Linked DNA regions of Caenorhabditis elegans. The gene in region 2 interacts genetically with the main gene of each other region. Each region holds a gene or a part of one and is shown on either strand. Other genes may lie near its edges.

Evidence for each region.
Region 1: of eor-1 (region 2) and lin-29, changing one enhances a phenotype caused by changing the other (phenotypic enhancement), as found in Caenorhabditis elegans (one large-scale study listed by BioGRID).
Region 3: of eor-1 (region 2) and hlh-30, changing one enhances a phenotype caused by changing the other (phenotypic enhancement), as found in Caenorhabditis elegans (one large-scale study listed by BioGRID).

What each region holds. Positions count from the first base shown.
Region 1 is NC_003280.10:11,930,208-11,934,874, forward strand, and holds the start of lin-29 (C2H2-type domain-containing protein), read right to left. Parts: upstream 3,018-4,667; coding exon 2,909-3,017; intron 2,859-2,908; coding exon 2,661-2,858; intron 1,875-2,660; coding exon 1,801-1,874; intron 1-1,800. UniProt on the Caenorhabditis elegans protein: Transcription factor which regulates the expression of various genes, including those involved in cuticle synthesis and maintenance, such as collagens, and in lipid metabolism.
Region 2 is NC_003282.8:4,793,148-4,800,772, forward strand, and holds eor-1 (Zinc finger protein), read right to left. Parts: upstream 6,041-7,625; 5' UTR 6,030-6,040; coding exon 5,948-6,029; intron 5,887-5,947; coding exon 5,606-5,886; intron 5,551-5,605; coding exon 5,437-5,550; intron 5,379-5,436; coding exon 5,236-5,378; intron 5,191-5,235; coding exon 5,017-5,190; intron 4,962-5,016; coding exon 4,704-4,961; intron 4,656-4,703; coding exon 4,582-4,655; intron 4,480-4,581; coding exon 4,295-4,479; intron 3,521-4,294; coding exon 3,322-3,520; intron 3,266-3,321; exon of another isoform or gene 3,117-3,265; intron 2,866-3,116; coding exon 2,682-2,865; intron 2,473-2,681; coding exon 2,372-2,472; intron 1,721-2,371; coding exon 1,512-1,720; intron 1,462-1,511; coding exon 1,279-1,461; intron 850-1,278; coding exon 560-849; intron 498-559; coding exon 245-497; 3' UTR 47-244; downstream 1-46. Other genes in the region: dpf-7 (Dipeptidyl Peptidase Four (IV) family), read right to left, coding at 6,452-6,802, 7,089-7,205, 7,253-7,391, 7,596-7,625.
Region 3 is NC_003282.8:4,025,111-4,030,011, forward strand, and holds the start of hlh-30 (Helix-loop-helix protein 30), read right to left. Parts: upstream 3,018-4,901; 5' UTR 2,977-3,017; coding exon 2,797-2,976; intron 2,702-2,796; exon of another isoform or gene 2,618-2,701; intron 1,954-2,617; coding exon 1,768-1,953; intron 1-1,767.

The sequences.
Region 1 (4,667 bases), on a different chromosome or scaffold from region 2:
AGTGTTCTAGTTATTTTGTGAAGATTTGAAAAAATCCAGTTGAATTTATGTAAGAGACTCAATGTAAGCAAAAGCCTAAGCCTAAGCCTAACCATAAGCCTAAGCCTAAACCTAAGCCTAAGCCTAAGCCTAAGCTTAAGCCTAAGCCTACGCCTTAGCTTAAGCCTAAGCCCAAGCCCAAGCCCAAGCCTAAGCCTAAGCCTAAGCCTAAGCCTAAGAATAGGCCTAAGCAAAAAAACAAAAAAAAACAGAAAAATAATCCTCAAAATTCAAATCAAATTTGAAAAAAGGAACATTTAACAAAAATTGTCAATCAAACAGTTCAACATACAAAAATGAGAGAGACAGATCAGGGGAAAAGAGCACACACTCTTGCTCAAAAATCCTACATTTCTCACTCTCTTTTCATCTCCACAAATTTCGCGTTCCATTTCGTCCACTAGGTCAACAAGAAAAAACGTCGACGCACGCAAAAAAATGAGCTCATTTTTTAGTTTTAAACCATACTGGTTTTAAACACAAAAATACTGTTCACAATAATTTCAGCCTTTCAAAAATTTGATCTGTGTACCTACGTTCGCGGGCGCGCGAAAAAAGGACGAGATGGAGATTTTGGGCTCTTTCTCTCGAGAAAAAACAACAGTCTCTGTTTCTATTTGTTTCCTTCTCCTCCTCCTCCTTCTATCCCAAATACCATTTTTCCTGCAAAAAAAAGACGAAAAAAGAGAACAGACGGACATAAGAAGAGCACACACAAAAACGGTACGAGCTCTTGCTGCTGCGAAAGGGAGTTTTTGCGGGGCTGCTTACGATCGAAAAGTGCACATTTCTACAGAGACCATATTGAGACCGGATAAAAACAAATTAAATTTTTATGGAGAAAATTCACGGCGGAAAAGTCGAGGAAAAGCTTGAGCTTGATCACTTTTTGGTCTCGTTGAACTTTTCAAACTTTTTGTTTGCTTTTTAGAGCACAGATTTTTGAACGAAGCCTACTTGCTTTCAGAGATTTCCGGCAAAAAGGTGGAATACAGTCATTTTTAAATTTTGCTTAAATTGTTAGAACAAGAAAAAAAATTTTGTAAAAAATTCCAACAATTTCAAAATTTTTTATGATAAAAAAACGCCTAAATTGAATTTGAATTCCCGCGCAAACAAACCAAAATTTTTTCGTTTTCTGGAAAAATAGTTGTATCCTTTTTTTCTTTTGTAGCCGACTCAAAATATCTTTAAATTCAAAAAGCTAAGCCTAAGCCTTAGAATAAGCCTCAGCCTAAACCTAATACTAAGCCTAAGCCTCAGCCTGAGCCAAAGCCTAACCTTAAGCCTAAAACTAAGCCTAAGCCTAAGCCTAAGCATAAGCATGAGCCTAAAGTAAGCCTATCTATCATTTAAAGCAATATTTCAATTATTTTCAAAACTATATTCTGAACAAAAAACTCCAATAAAAAAGGTACCTGTCTGCCTGCCTCAAGCTTGCGTATCTATTGGGATGTACTTAAAAGCACCTTGCAAGGCAGGCACGTAAGAAGGCAAGCATGACGTTTTTAAAAAAATTATTTATTAAAATGCATTCATTAAAAAATTGAGTAATTTTTTCTCCGTGTTTAGGCAAAACAAAACTAATGAAATTAAAAATGTTTCAAAATTTCAAAATTGTTTTCTAGTTCGAAAAAAGTGCGGAACACTTCTACGAAAAAACACCCCCTGTCCCCTGTCCATAGCCCCCGAATGCATTTCTAACTAGATTTCAAAAATGTTTCTTTTTCACCCTCGTTTGAATGTGTTCCCTATGCAAACCTGTGGATATCTTCCAAATTGTGAAAACATATGATGTGGCAGGAGAGAATTCTGATGGAAGTTCAGTAGATCCGCTGAAAATTGAATTGAATTAGTTATGATTTGCCGAAAATCTGGATGGTCAGGTACATTGGGGGTACGTTTGAACTGGTACATAAAAATGGGAAAGACACGTGGTTTAGAGAAATGACACGATTTTTAAAATGTAGAAAATTACTTTCAAAGTCACCATCAAAAGTGAATGGAAATAAATCGGGGCTCCATGAGCAGTCTGCAGAAAATTTTTCATTTTTTAGGGTTAGGTTTAGGCTTAGACTCAGGCTTAGGCCCAGGCTTTAGTTTAGGCTTAGACTTAGACTTAGGCTTAGGCCTAGGCTTAGGCATAGGCTTAGGCTTAGGCTTAGGCTAAGGCTTATGCTCAAGCTTAGGCTAAGGAATATGCTTGAACTTTGGTTTAGGTTTAGGCTTATGCTTAGGCTTAGTCTTAGGGTCAGGCTTAGGCTTGGATTTGGGCCTAGGCTTACTAGGCTCACTCGGGAATATATTGACTTAGAAGTACGATAAAAGTTTATCTTCTTTTTGTACGGGTAGATGAAGTAATTGGCTACTAGAGTCTAAAATAATATCTTACCGACGACCTTCGGAAGACCTGGGCTCAGGTTCAGGCTTGGATTTGGACCTAGACATGGGATTTTTCTTAGGCTTTGTCTAAAGTTCAGTTCTTTGATTTAAGCATAGGCGCAGGCTCAATCTCAGTTTTAAGTTTTCTGCTATCAAAATTGATCGCATTTTCTATTCTTTGAAGATACAGAAATTGAATTTAAATGAAATTTTCGAAACAAAAGCTTTGATAAATCTACCTTGATTAAAATGCGGAAACGGGTTTGTCGATGAAGCAGCAGTTGCCGAGTCAATGGAGTGTTGCGACAAAGCCATATTCAAATTAGTGATCGAATGATGTGCTGGTGTGGATCCAGTTGATCCGGTCACATTGTCCGAGTTGGCACCGTCCGTTGAGTCAGTGCCGTCGGTTGACCGACTTGATGATCTCACTGAAACTTTAACTTTATTTTTTATGATCAGTTTCTTGAAATAATCAAATCCTCACAGTTTGTTCCAACACCAAAATGGGTGGTAGATCCGGAGCCAGTGGTGGTTCCAGCTATTCCAGAGTCCACTGGAGAGTTGAATGCCGAATCTAGAACAGTTTGATCCATTGCGTTGAAGAAGTTGGCTTGATCCTCGCGAAGCTGAAAGGAAAGTATATATTTCTTTATAGATTAAATGCCTAAAACATCTACTTGGATTAATTTTTATTCTCAACTTTGATTATAGCTTATATCTCAGTTGTGGTTTTCTTCGACTAAAAAATAGGCAACTAACAAAATATTCGTAAAATCTTTTTCTACCATTTCCTAGTTAATACAGTAACCCATCGGCTGTAAAATTAAATATTACCTGGCTCCAAAAATTTTGGGAAGACCCATAAAAATTACACGGCCACATTGCTAATAATCTACACTTTGAGAAAAAAAAATACTATAGGAAAAAGTTAATTAACAGAGGTGGGGCCTAAAAACTCATACTCATACCGTAATCGGAAAACACGGCAGGTGGTCTATGTTGATTTTTTTTTGTTTTTGCATAGACTTGGATTTCACAAGTCGAGGAACAACATACTGCACCTGCCCCGAAGTACGGCGGTGAAACTTGGAAAGTGTAGCATTATTGTACCTAACGAATACTTTAATCTAATGAAATTCAAGACAAGAAAAAAATCTCCTAAAACCATGTGACCCAAAGAAGAACTGAAAGATTTCTTATATGCCCTTTGTCTACTCCTTTCGATTCCCTTTTACTCGGTTCCGATTACACGTGCCCACCACCTGCCACGAAACGTTCGAATTCACTTTTTTTCCCGTTTCATTTTAGTCGGTCTCTCCATTTCGAGACACAACTCATAAATATGGAAAAGTGCACAGTGCACACAGCTGTGCAAGTTTTGAAATATGTACAGCAGATTTGAAGAGGGATTGGGGTGAAAGTTAGCGGGTTTTCGTGAAGCCGCCTAAGCAGTTTAGAATACTGTAAAAGGAGCAGGCGAAAAATAGCGTCAAGAATTTGGAAACCTCTTTTTGAGATGTCCTTATCAGGGCTGGGCGGAAATTGCCGGTTTGCCGATTTGCCGAAAATTTTAATTTCCGGCAATTTGCCGGTTGCCGGTTTGCCGGTTTGCCAAAAATTTTCGTTTCAGGCAATTTACCGTCTTGCCGATTTGCCGTAAATTTTGAATTTCGGCAAATTTCAGGTTTGCAGTTTGCCGAACATCTATTTGCCAGAAGTTTTTAGAGGGATTTTTAGTAAGACGGAAACATTGTGACTTTTTGAATTTTTTCCCGTTTTCTTTATATATTTGCATAGAATTTGCTTACTTTTCAGAATAGATGTAGGATGATCATAGGATGCGTATAAATTTGCCGATAAAAATTGAATTTCTGAAATTTTCAAAAAAAAATGTGTGTGCAAAACCACAATTTGCCGAAAATTTTCGGCAAATCGGCAATTTTCCGGTTGCTGATTTGCCGGGCCATTTCTATTCCGGCAATGCTCCGATTTGCCGGAAATAATCGTTTTTCTTTTTGTTAATAATTTCTCATTCTCTCCCCCCAACCTCTACCCCAAACTTCCCCAACTCTCCATACCTACCGTTATCACCAGCACTAGCATGTTTCAAGAAAGTCCCCAAATACATTTTCAGTAGATCGTAAAAACTATAAGGTTTTTACGAGTTGTGCCACCACGCTACCGTACTAGTAGTGATGAAACAACTGATAAAATGTAGAGAGACACTTGTAATATACACTTTA
Region 2 (7,625 bases):
CGCTTTTATGTGGTCTGGAAGAAAAATAAAACAATGTTTCAGTTAAAAATGTCATCTATAATTTCATAAATTTATTTATAACCATAAAAACCATTTAGGACTAATTAGGCATTAAACAAGGAGATCATACACATATCAAAATGAAGGCATTAAGAACAATTTGAAACATGTTACAAGAAAAGGCAAAGATAGTAAAGGGGTTTTTTCAAAAGTGAGGTTTTAGGCAGTTTCAGGACTATATTTATTATTGTACATTCCACGGATTCCATGCATTATTGGAATTATCTTGATTATTCGGGGTTCCAGTCGGTGGAAGCCCGGCTGCTTGTAGTTGTTGTTGAAGTTGCTGGAGTTGAGCCGCCTGAGCCAAATCCATTTGTCCGTAGGTTGGAAGTGAGAATGGACGGAGTTGCTGTTGTTGCTGCTGTTGTTGTGGATCAGAGTTTGTGGAGAGATTGTTGAATTGCGGTTGGACAGCACTCCGGTTATGTGGAGATCTGGAAAATAATGTTTAGAATTAATGCGGCACTGCTTTTTGCAAAATTTACAGGTAACAAACCTCATCACCAAGTTAGGTGTCATCAAAACTCCATGTGTATTGTCTGATCCTTCAGGTCCACCACCACCACCACCTCCTTGACCACCTCCAACAGAATCTCCCGGTGAATCCTGTCGCTGCATCTGATGATGATTGTCCCGTAATGGAACATTCATCATAGACATACAGCCAGGTGATTGGGCATGATGTTGATGTTGAGATGGATGAACGACTGAGAAGGCACGCTGAGGAGATGAAGGGTTGCCGTAAGTTGATGGTCCACCGTAATCGTTGGGATTCGGAGAGTACGTCTGGAAATTGATAAATGAGAAATTTCTAGATTCTAAGTTTGTATAACCCCAAACGGCCGATTTTTCAAAAATCCCAAAAACCATCAATTTTTCCTTGTCGAAGCAGCTGAAATATAGTTTCTATTAAACTATAACCCGTTATTGCATATTTTCGGTACTAGATCTTGCTGAAATTCGCCGATTTAGGCACTTTTAAAGTCGATAGGCATCCAAAAATCATCAATATTGGCATAATATGACCAAAATTGGATGCTTATTGACTTTAATAGTGCCTAAATCGGCGAATTTAAGCAAGATCTAGTACCGAAAATATATGCAATAACGGGTTATAGTTTGAAAGAAACTATATTTCAGCTGCTTCGACAAGGAAAAATTGGCGAAATTTCAGAAATTCTGTCGCTTGGCTCTTCGTTAATTCAATAAACCTACCGAAAAGTCATTAGTAGCCTGCCAATTGCTAACAGCATCATCAGAAGTAATTGGACGGAACAGAGCATCCGGATTATTCACAATATTGCTCGCGGCAGCCAACATTCTCTGTCTCTTATACTTTCTTCGTTGAGTCTTTTGGAATGTGAGCACTTCCGAATTGTGATGCTTGATGATGTGCTCCTAAAAATTATGAAAATTATCAAAAATTATCATCTAAAATGCTCAAAAACCTTAAGCTTATCACGCCGACTAGATGCATATTCACACTGATCACACTTGAACGGCTTCTCCTCCAAATGAATCCTCTCGTGACGGACCAGATGTGATTTTTCGATGAATCCACGGCCACAGATCTTGCAGAGATGGGCGCGAACCGCCATGTGGGTACGGAGATGGGCCGCCAGTTGGCTTTTTTTGGTCGACGAGTAGTCGCAACCGGCTGAAAATTAACAGTAATGTTTTCAGGATCTTTAAATATGTCATTTTATAGTGTAGTTTTCAGGATCTTTAAATATGTCATTTTATAGGAAAAATAACAAAAAATTGCTCAGATCAACTCCATAGCTGTTTAAACAATACTCCATGTTTAAAAACTCGAAAAAATTACGCACAGCGTGAAGCGAGCTGGGAAAGGCCCTGCATTGGAGAAGAAGAAGCTCTGAGAAAAGTTCTCTGCAAAAGCGCAAAAACTAATGAAACACGTCGAAATGATTTTATGTCGAGCGCGACGATAAAACCATTACCAAATACCTACAGTACCCCAGTGTGTGTTCGGCAGAAAAAAAAAGTGAAAGTGATATGATCCACAGATGATCTAACCACTGTTTCTATCTTCAGCCGCCGTTTTCTTTCGTTTTTTCGACCATTTTTTGTGCGGAAAAGGCGGCGCTGTGTCGCCAAGGAGAAACGAAAATTAATGGAATAGTACGGGTGATAAGGAGACGCAGCGAGGGGGGTTTTTGGTTGGAAAAAAGTAGAAGTGAACTGCGCAAAAGTCATCCAAATGATGGATCGGTTGGCAGGTGATAACGGAACTATTCTGGCATTCAGTGTATTCCAATGCGTGGTGTTACAGGAAATACAAACTGACCAATGTGACAGCTAAAATTGTCTCCAGTATGTTGACGACGATGAAGGGAAAGATGATCGGCGGTTTTGGTGGCGAAACCGCAATCCTCACAGATATAAGGCCTGAAATTTGGAAGAATTTGATGGAAATTGTGAAAATTCTGAATTTGAATAAAAGTCGCCTTGTTTGGTTTTGAGACAATTATTATTATTGCCTCCAAACGTTACTAGCAAAATTGGAATTGCCTCAAAATCAGATCTTGCATGGTTTTTTATTTCAAATTCGCACATTATTAACTTTCAGATCTCGAAATTTCATAGTAAAAACTTACCTAGGATCATTATGACTAGCAACATGATGATCCAATGTACTATGCTGTTGGAATCCTCTTCCACACTCTTCACAGTGTAATGATCGATCATCGAGTACAGAATGCATTCGTTCGTGAGCAAACAGTTGAGAACGAGTTCGACCTTTCCATGCACATTCACCGCATTTGAAGAAACGCTCGTCGGCTGAAAATTTGACAATTTTAGAGGGTTTTTTTGTTTCTTTTAGAAAGTAATTTTGGAAAACAATTTTATTCAGCCGTTTTTTTTCGGTTTTAATGTGTTTCCTTCGGCAAAGTCAACGTGTGTCTGATGGTAAATTTAAAAAAAAAACAGAAAATTGAAAGCTTAGCTATTCATTCGATTTTTTGGAGATTAATTAAAAATTTAAATTGATATTGTTGGTAAATTCTGAAAATATGAAAAAAACATTATCGATCAATTTTTTTACAAAAATTAATTTTCATAATTTGGTTTTTTAAATGAAAATAGGTTTATATTTCAAGAAACATTGTGAATTTCAGAAAAAGAAACGATTTATCTGAAAATACATTTAATTTTTTTGTAGTTTCAAAAAAAAAGAGTTTTTTTTTCAAAATTAAAAAATGTACGTTTTTTTCCAAAATTTTTGTAAAAACTCACTATGCTGAAGCCTATGGGTCAAAAACTCTTGTATCTCATTTGAAGTGAACGGACACGTTTCACATCGATACGGTATCTCTGTCCAGTGCTCAGCACAATGAAGATAGAATTGTTTGCTCCAATTGGTTTCAAATTCACATAAATGACACATATAATACGTATTGCGATTGTGATGACGAGCTTTGTGCTTTTCGAGAAGCTGAAAATATGAGGAAATTGTTGAAGAATCGATCGAAATATTTTACAACACTTTTCTGGTTTTTTTTTTTTTTTGGTTTTTTGGAACATAAAACTCATAAAACCAGCAGAAGATCGTTCGTACACGAGTTTGTTTTTACATTTTCCCAAAATATGGAACTTTACATCAAAATATTTTTAAAAAAATAAATTATGCATGAAAGTTTCCAAATTGTGCTGTAATTCTTTAAAAAAATATTTTTAAAGATATATATTATATAGACACAAAAATTTGCAATTTTCGAGCCTGGTCTCGACACGACAAATTTTCGTTAGAACCGAAAACAATTATGCGCCTTTAAAGATTACTGTACGGTGTTTTTGTTGATTTTTCATAGTTTTTTTTTCTAAAATTTAAGCTTTTTAAAAACTATTTAAATTTCGGAATATTTGGTTGATAAATAAATATATTTTATCGAAAAACTAAAAATAATCGATAAAAACTCCTCAGATTGAAAATACAGTAATCTTTAAAGGCGTAAATTTTCTTGATGTAGCCAAAAATCGTCGTGTCGAGTTTTGTATATTAAATAAACGCCAAAATATGAAATTTTCGCCAAAATCTGGTCAGGTCTCACCACACCGACAACAGGTTACTGTAGCCCATTGTTCGGTGTGTCGAGACCTTTTTGACGTCTAAAAATAGAATAAATCATATTGACGGTTTAAATTTGAGAAAAATAATATTTTTTTCGCATTTTTTCAAGGTTTTAATTGATTTATTTTTTGTCAATACCTCCTCATTTGCAGTCCGCAGTCCACAGAAAATACAAGTGGACGGTCCATTCTCATCAGGTTGATCTTCTTCATCTTCACAATCATCTGGATCCAAATTGTCAACTGGTCCATAGGTATGACATCCTTCCAATGAACATGTAGCATATACACCATCAATTTCGTCTTCGTCGATCCATGGAATACCTGGAAATTTTATTGATAAGGAATTTGACAGAAGATTTCTTCAATTTTTGATTTTACAATTTCACAAAATCCCTTTTTTTTTGAGAAAAAAAACCAGCTCACTTTCATTTTCCGTCGCATTAATCGGTGGAATTGGGTGCAAATGATGTTTTTTCATTCCTTTTGGTCGTTTTAATCTAAAATTTTCCATTGAATTTTATCAATTTTTTCATATAATCACTAACCGCTTCTTCTCATTTCCCGGCTGGAATGCAATCTTCATTTTCAGTCGATTATTAACATCATTTCCGTATTCAACAACTTGTGCAGATGTTGGATGTCCATCAGCTATATAATCATCTGGATCCTCTTCAGAATCACTTGAATCATAAATATCATCTTCAAATTGAGATGGATCGTGGAGAATCGGAAGATCAACGATTTTCTGACGAAGACTGCTCAGTTGAGTCGAGTACTTTTCCATAAGCATGTTATTTGTTTCCCTACAAAAATTATTTCATCAGTAATAATTTTGTAAACTTTAACAACTCCACTTACATGACATGTAGTAGCAAAAATCGACTTTTCTGACTTTTCGATAGCAACGGCGAGTAATCCAGAAGAAATTCCAGTGTGTCAGCTGAAACTTCTCGAAATTCGCAGGATTCTAGTAGTAATCGGAAGATTTCCTCTCGCTTCGATACTTCTTCACCGACCCAGCGGACTATTAATCTGAAAAAATTACTGTTTTAGTCATTTTGGAACGAAAAAACTCACTTTAAATAAGTGTCAGAAGTAATACAATCCACGTATTTCGGATCTCCAATGAGTCTTGTCAGTTGTGTATACGTGTAACCAATTATATCTCTGGATTCCAGTAAACATCGATTAAGATTGCTGTCAAAGTAGTCTGTAGCAGACTGAAAAAAGAAATTCGAAGTTTCTCGCTTTTAAAGCTTTAAAAATTCAAATTCTTACTTTCACAAGTCCTGGTAGATTATATCTCTGAGCTAACGTTCGTATTGATAAGCAATTGGCCGCGTCTAGATATCGATCCAAATAAGCTGCACAATACACTTTTAGCTTCACTATCTGAAAAAAACGGAATTATAGCAGGAATAGTCGATCGAAAAATCAATAATATTACCAGAAAATTATTTGCAAATCTCAATAGCTCCGAAACACTTGATCGATCGATAATCACTGTTCCACTGTACATATAATTGAGGAATAACTCGAAAACTTGTGGAGATTTGCTATTTATTGTGAGCTGTTCCTTTGTGATTTTGCAATATTTGAAAATTGCGTCAAAATATGGACTGTGAGCTGCTAAAATGTTTCGATGAGCCGCAAATGATTTGTTTTGAACAACAATTTCCACATCACAAAATCGGCCGGTTTTTCGTTGATATTGTAATCGTTGGAACACTGAAAAATAAAAGTTAATTTAATTATCAAGCCAAGATTGAATTAAATACAAAACTCTTACACATATGACTGGTTTGCCCAGAACTATCATCAAATGTCATTGGACAGAGCCCTGTGTTTTCGGAACTAGCTACTAATGTCATCTGAAATTAAATTGAAATAATTTTCATTGCGATTTTATAATTTATTCGATGGGAAACTCACATTTTATCGAGGAAGACGTCAATAAACTTAGAATAAATGCTCCGATTCAAATCGGGTGAGGAGTGTGCAGACGCGCTCTACTGAACAATCTAAAAGATTATCGATTTGCAAATATTATTTCAATGGATTTTTAACGATAGTTATATATTTAACGAAATTCAAATTTTATTCGAGATTTCAAAAAAAGAAAATATATATCTGAGCATAACGACACATAAAAAATTTAAAACTGAGCGAAATTCCAATTTGTAACATATTTTAACAACGAATTAAAGCTGATGTAGACATTGTTCTAATCGGCGTTTTTTTAATGAATTAACAATATAAGTTAGTAATAATTCAAGAAAGAAAAAATAAATAATTAATCATCAGGAACCGGCGTTTCAATTCTAGAACCATTCTCGTATTCTCCATATGGTGTTCTATAAAATTGAATGACTTTCACAACGAAATCATTCACTTGTTCGTCTTCTTCTTCGTATTCTCCAAAACACGGAACGCCATTATTGTGAATTGTAGACTCAAAATCTTTGTACTTTGTATCGCTTTTATTCTCCAGAACAATCAACATCGGAGTAACAATTTCAGACGCATGTGAGACCGGCTCCACGTCTTTCAGAAATTCAGCTTCAGGGTTTTCTGTATCAACTGCACACGTTGTGAATGGAAATTCGAGCATCGGCCGTACGAGTGCACATCCTTTATAGAATTTCTGAAAATAGTGAATTAAAAAATATGAAAATCCATGAGACGCTAAATTTTGTGATTTTCGTGCCAAAAATAGAAAAATATCGGGGTAACGACACGACATTTTTTGAAAGTTAAAGGTGGAGTACCGAAATCAGAGACTTTGTTTTTTTTTAACTATAATGTCGCAAAACTGACGGATCTATCAATAAAACTTTCAAAATATTTCTGAAGAAAACATGTCGTGTCGAAACCGGGTATTGTATTTTTCACCAAAAATCGCAGAATCTCGCGTCGATGTAATATCCCACCTTATGTTTGATAATCAGACTACACGCCACAAAAGATCCAAATTCAAATCCATACAAGTAAATATATTTTTCATCTAACCGCGCTCCGTGTCTCTCGAGAACTTCTAGTACAGTTTCCTGTAAAAAAAATCATAAAATGAGGAAAAAAACGAACGATTCTCTACATGAACATCATTAATACATTCCGAACCACAATTCTTTGGAAAGCAGGTTCCTGGAATTGCTATAAATGGCTCCCGATAGTTTACAACTAGCACACAGAAGCCACAAGTTACCATTGTAGAGAGCACAGGGTCAACGGTACTGAAAATTTAAATTTAATTTTAAATTTATAAATCAATTCTTTATAAACAGGGAAAATTGCTATTTGAACATTTTTAAATTAAAAAAATAAAGATAGAAAATTGCGGTTGAAATTGAAAGCTCGATCCGTGAATTTTGCAATTCTTTCGATGCTTTTTTTGTTGATTTTTCAATAAATTTTGAGTCTAAAGAAAAAAAATCTACCTAACGGTGAAATTAGGTTCTAATCCGGAA
Region 3 (4,901 bases), 770 kb from region 2:
ATTGGGTCTCAATGCGAAAACGAATCCGGATTCAAACGTACAACACTAATAATTAGGACTTCACAATTTTAGAAAAATAGTTCAAATAAAGAGTGATAACGAAATTTGTACAAGTTTCGAATTCCTGGGAAACAAACTCTAATGGTCGAAAAAATTTCTAGAAAAAAGTTAAGTTCTCAACGTTCTTAAATACATTAGAATTCTATGAAAATCAGATTTTCCCTGAATTCTACAGGTTTCAAAATTAGGGGGAAAATGTACTGATTGTGAAAAAAAAAAGATCCCAGGTTCCGAGAAATTTCAATTTTTTTTTGTAAGATGTTTTTTTTTCCAAAAAGCTTCCAGAATATTTGCCTAGTTTTCCTCATGCTTTAAAACATTGAAAATCTCTCAAAATTTGGTTTTGGAGAAATTCTACGGGACTTGAAACTAGCGAAAATGCACTGACAAAATGGGGAGAAAAAGTCCTAAAAATTTCCAAAAAGCTTTGAGAATGCGTTATAAATCTGGGAAAATCCGATTATGAAAAATTCGACGGATTTCGAAATAATCGAAAAAAAAACTCTGCTTTTTTCAGAAAAAGTTTCAAAAAGCTTGGCCTAAACATTGAAAAATTAATAATCTCAGAAAATTTGGTTTTGGATAAATTCTACGAGCATCGAAGTTTGGCAAAAAAGTTTCAAACGAAATACCGGGAACTTGGAGTTAGCTTCGTGGGTTTTTGTAATGAGCTAGTCAAATGGTACAGACTCGTATCATAAAGTCAAATTTTATTTGATGCGCTGTTGATAGCTAGGGTCCTATTCGACCTTTTAGTCCACATACAGCCCCCTCCCTACCCAACCAATCAACTTGAAAGTTCAACTCAAACATCTCATTGTCTTCTCAGTCCTATCCACCACCACTACCACACGTCAGAGACCATCGGAGAGTGTAAAAACAACCGGACGCCGAGAGAAGCTAGCCGAACACCACGTGACACTGTCCAAGAGGCAGACAGAGACCCGGGGGGGGGGGGGGCTACGTGCCAAACGCAAGATTTTTTCAGCGCCCGTTTTTCGTTTTTCAGCTGTTCCGTCTAGGGTGGAGTCATCTGGGAGTGGGAGAGACCGCAGAATGTGGAAGGAAAAATATGGAATGGGCGCCGTGGCGCAAAAGTGCTTGAAAACAAATACATGGCTCAGGGGGGGGGGTCATATTGTTAAAGCCAATCAAGAACAATTTTTTTGTAAAAATTCAAACTTCTATAATTTGACCCTACGACGTTAGGCTAACAACAGATGCCAAAAAAGGGAGATCTACAAGAAAAATGAAAAGATATCAGTTTCAGGGGAGCAAGTTGGAAGAAATTTTTACGTAAAGTTTGAAGATCTATAATGTCGAGCAATTTAATTGTGTGCCTACGCCTTTAAGCGAAGAAGAGCAGGGTTTAAGCTTATTTTGAGCCAAGAAACCCCAACTCTTGAAAAAGGTACTTTTACACAGATTAAAAAAAAAGAACCACAAAACAATTTAGTTACCGGGGAGCCCTTTCAGGCCCACTTTTTTTCATAAGAAAAAAATTCCAAAAATTCTGCTTTTTTTCTTACTATTAATTGAGCTGGGTAAAAAAAACTTGTAAACTACCTTTAAACTTTCCATAAAATCGTTAAAAATTATGTTAGAATGCAGTATTTTGTTTCGTTTTTTGTTTTATTTCTGTAGAGACTTTGAGCTCAAACAATGTAAGAAAACAAAAATTTTCTTTTAATAAAATTTGAAACTAACCGGTTGAATATTGCCGAACAACATCTGATGCGTCTGCTGCATCTTCCTTGGACTACTTAATGCCGCTCCACTGCTCCCTCCGCCAAAGTAGCTCTGTGTAGGCGCTGAGCCGAACGGTGTCGACGTCGAGCCCATCGATCGTTGTGCGATTGGAATCAGATTTCCCGTCTCTCGACGTTGTTCCATCTCAAAATACAAAATAAGAAAAGAGATAGAAATCATTATGGAAAGATAACTACTAAATTTCGGTCGTTGATGCACCATGAGCGCTCTGCTTTGTTTACTACTACTATATTGGCGGCGGCGGCGGGCGGGAAGTTGGCAGTGTGCCAAAAACATTGTGTCTATATCTCTCTAATTTGGGAGATAGGGAAATCAAAGCCGATCAGAAAACTGAGCAGCCCTGTTACTTGATAAATTAGCTGCCCCTGTCGCCACCGCCTCGCCGGCCCCAAAGTGATGACAATTGGCGTCGAGAGATGAGAAAACTGAGTTTGAAATTCGATTTGTGATTTGAAATTGAAATCGGATCAAGCTTAGAAAATGGGCGAAGAGAGCAAAGTACAATTTTAAGCGAGGTTTGTAAATTTTTAATGCGAGTTTTGGCTCGCAATGAAAATGGTAATGCGATTGGTAAATTGATAAAGTAGGTCAAAACTGATATCAGCTCAAAGAACGTTGATAGGACTGAAACTAGAAGCCTGTGTCAAGCCCAAACGGACCGCCGAAACCACAAACTACAAAACAATCAAGTCTCATTCGCTCTCTTGTTTCTTTTCTCTTTTTGTGTATTGTCACCACACATGACCGGTCAATCAATCGTCAGATGGGGGTCTTATCTTGAGCGAATTTCAAGACAAAGTTCTGGTGAGTTAGGCTACTCAAGTGTCCCGGAAGGAAGTTGGGTGCCCGGAGCAGGAAACTAAAAGCGGGGGGAAAGAGAGCTGATAAGAAACGGGGCTATTTGAAGGGTGTAAAGACCAAATGTCGTTGGCCTAAACCTGAACCTAGAAAATTATTAGCCCTTACACTTTTGCCGGCGCCAAATCGAAACTGCGACGCGTTAGCCTGATATGGCTCGTCATCGTAGAACTGTTGCTGGGCTTGTTGTGGTTGCTGCTGCTGTTGAGCACCCGGTGGCTGCTGGGCTCTCGGATTGTTCAATCCGAGGCCGCCGCCACCGCCTGGTGAATTTAGTTGGCGGATCATGAATGCTCTTATTCGCTGATTTTTTTTTTCAGTATCGGGATCTGAGAATTAAAAAAAAATCAATCGATAAAAAGGTATATTGGTTGGTAGAAAAAAAGGAAAAAAATTCGAAAGGGGGAGAGGGAAAAGAGCGAAAGACAAGAGAAGAAACCGAGTGGAAGGGTCGGGAGAGAGGCGCCCAAAGGGGTCGCGGGAGACCGAGGTGATACGAGAGGACGAGGCGAGAGAGCGGCAGACACAATGTGACATATCAAGAGGTCGTCGCCAGCAACAGCAGCCCCTCCCCAAAGGATCGAGCGAGAGGCGCGAGAGATGGGGCACACGGGCGCACACGCGCCCGCCCCTATCTCTTTCTCTCACAGCCTCCACCACCGATCATTTCGTTTATTACTGTGTCCCCCACCTCCTGCCAAGTTCTTGTCGAGACAATGGCGATTAGGCTACTTAAGGGCAGTTGGGGGTGGCTAGCTGTCTGCGTAGCTGGAATCCTAGAATACTAAACTCCTAAACAAAATCATTGGCCCCATCCTAATTACAAGATAGTAACGGTCCATATAGTTAAGACATCAGAGATTAGGTCGAGAAAAATAAGAAGAACACAACAAACTGTATTCGGAGGAGGTGGCCAGAGATCTTTTTTTTTGAACAGTTTGATGGGCTTGATTTGATTAGAAGAAGATTAAAAGATGAGGGAGATCAAAATTCGGTTTTGAAAAATCTGAGAAATTCAAAAGATAAAGCTAGCTTAACAATTTAAGGCCTTTGTTCGGACAAGGATTTTTTTCTAGGTTCGGGCAATGGAGCAGTATGCAATCTAAGGTGATCTAAATAAAATCAAAAAGTGTTATTAGATGTCCTGAACAAAATATTCCAAAAATTCCTACCTTGAGGGCGAACAATTAGGAAGCTAAGCCTAAGAACCTAAGCCTTCTGGAGCTGCACCTAGGGACTTCTGACATTTGAAGCTTACTTAGGTCGTTCGAAACAGGGTTTTCAGGAAAATTAGAATTTTTTAAGCTTCCGAGGTTCAGAAACAAAAAAATGGCGAAAACGGATGGATCAAAAAAGACAACTTGAAGAAAATGTTATCGTTCTATGATCCGAGTAGAATTTTTACCCAGCGGCTTTGCTGGAAGTTTTAGGGGGTCTGGAAGTGGCACTCTATCAATTTCAAAAAGTGAGACCTCACAAAGTCTCTAAGTCAACAAAAACCTGGAAAAGTCGATTTTTTTTCAACCCAAACACAGGTTATCATCACAAAAACATGACAAAGAAATGATCCAAAGCAACAATGACGCCATCAAAAGTTTGTTTTAAATTCCAACCAACGCAAAGAAAATACGAAAATAAAACAAAACTATTCGACAAAACCCTCTCTTTTTAGGCGACGAAGGAGAATTCGGCCTCCCGCCGCCAACTGATAAGCGCGGCGCCTATTCTCTTTCATAATTAGTGTGTGATGATTATGATAGTGATATGTGTATGTACAATGAAGTTTTGGGAATTTGCAAGACGCAGAGAATTGTTACTCGGCAAACAGTAGGGGGGGGGGGGCTAACTGAGAAATAAAGGAGGAGTTGGGGCGCCGGATTGGTGGTATTGTGATATTTCCAGAGGTCGGGGCAAATATTGATGATTAAATTGAAAAAGGGTTTAAATTGACAACACTTTTTGCTCAATTTCTCGTAAGTTTGAATTTCAGATTTAGAGTCCGAAACTTAAGACCCTAGGCTTAGATCTATAGGCTTGGCTCCCTGGTCCCAAGGCTTGTAAGCTAAGGCCATGAAGTTTGCCTCTAGGCTTAGTTCTTAACATTTAGGTACCTCCCTAGTGGTGTTCCCAGAACGTCCCTAGTGGTGTTCCCGGTAAAGGGGTTTATTAGCTCCAAAAGTTAAAGTCCCAATGCTTAGGTTCAAAGGCTTACT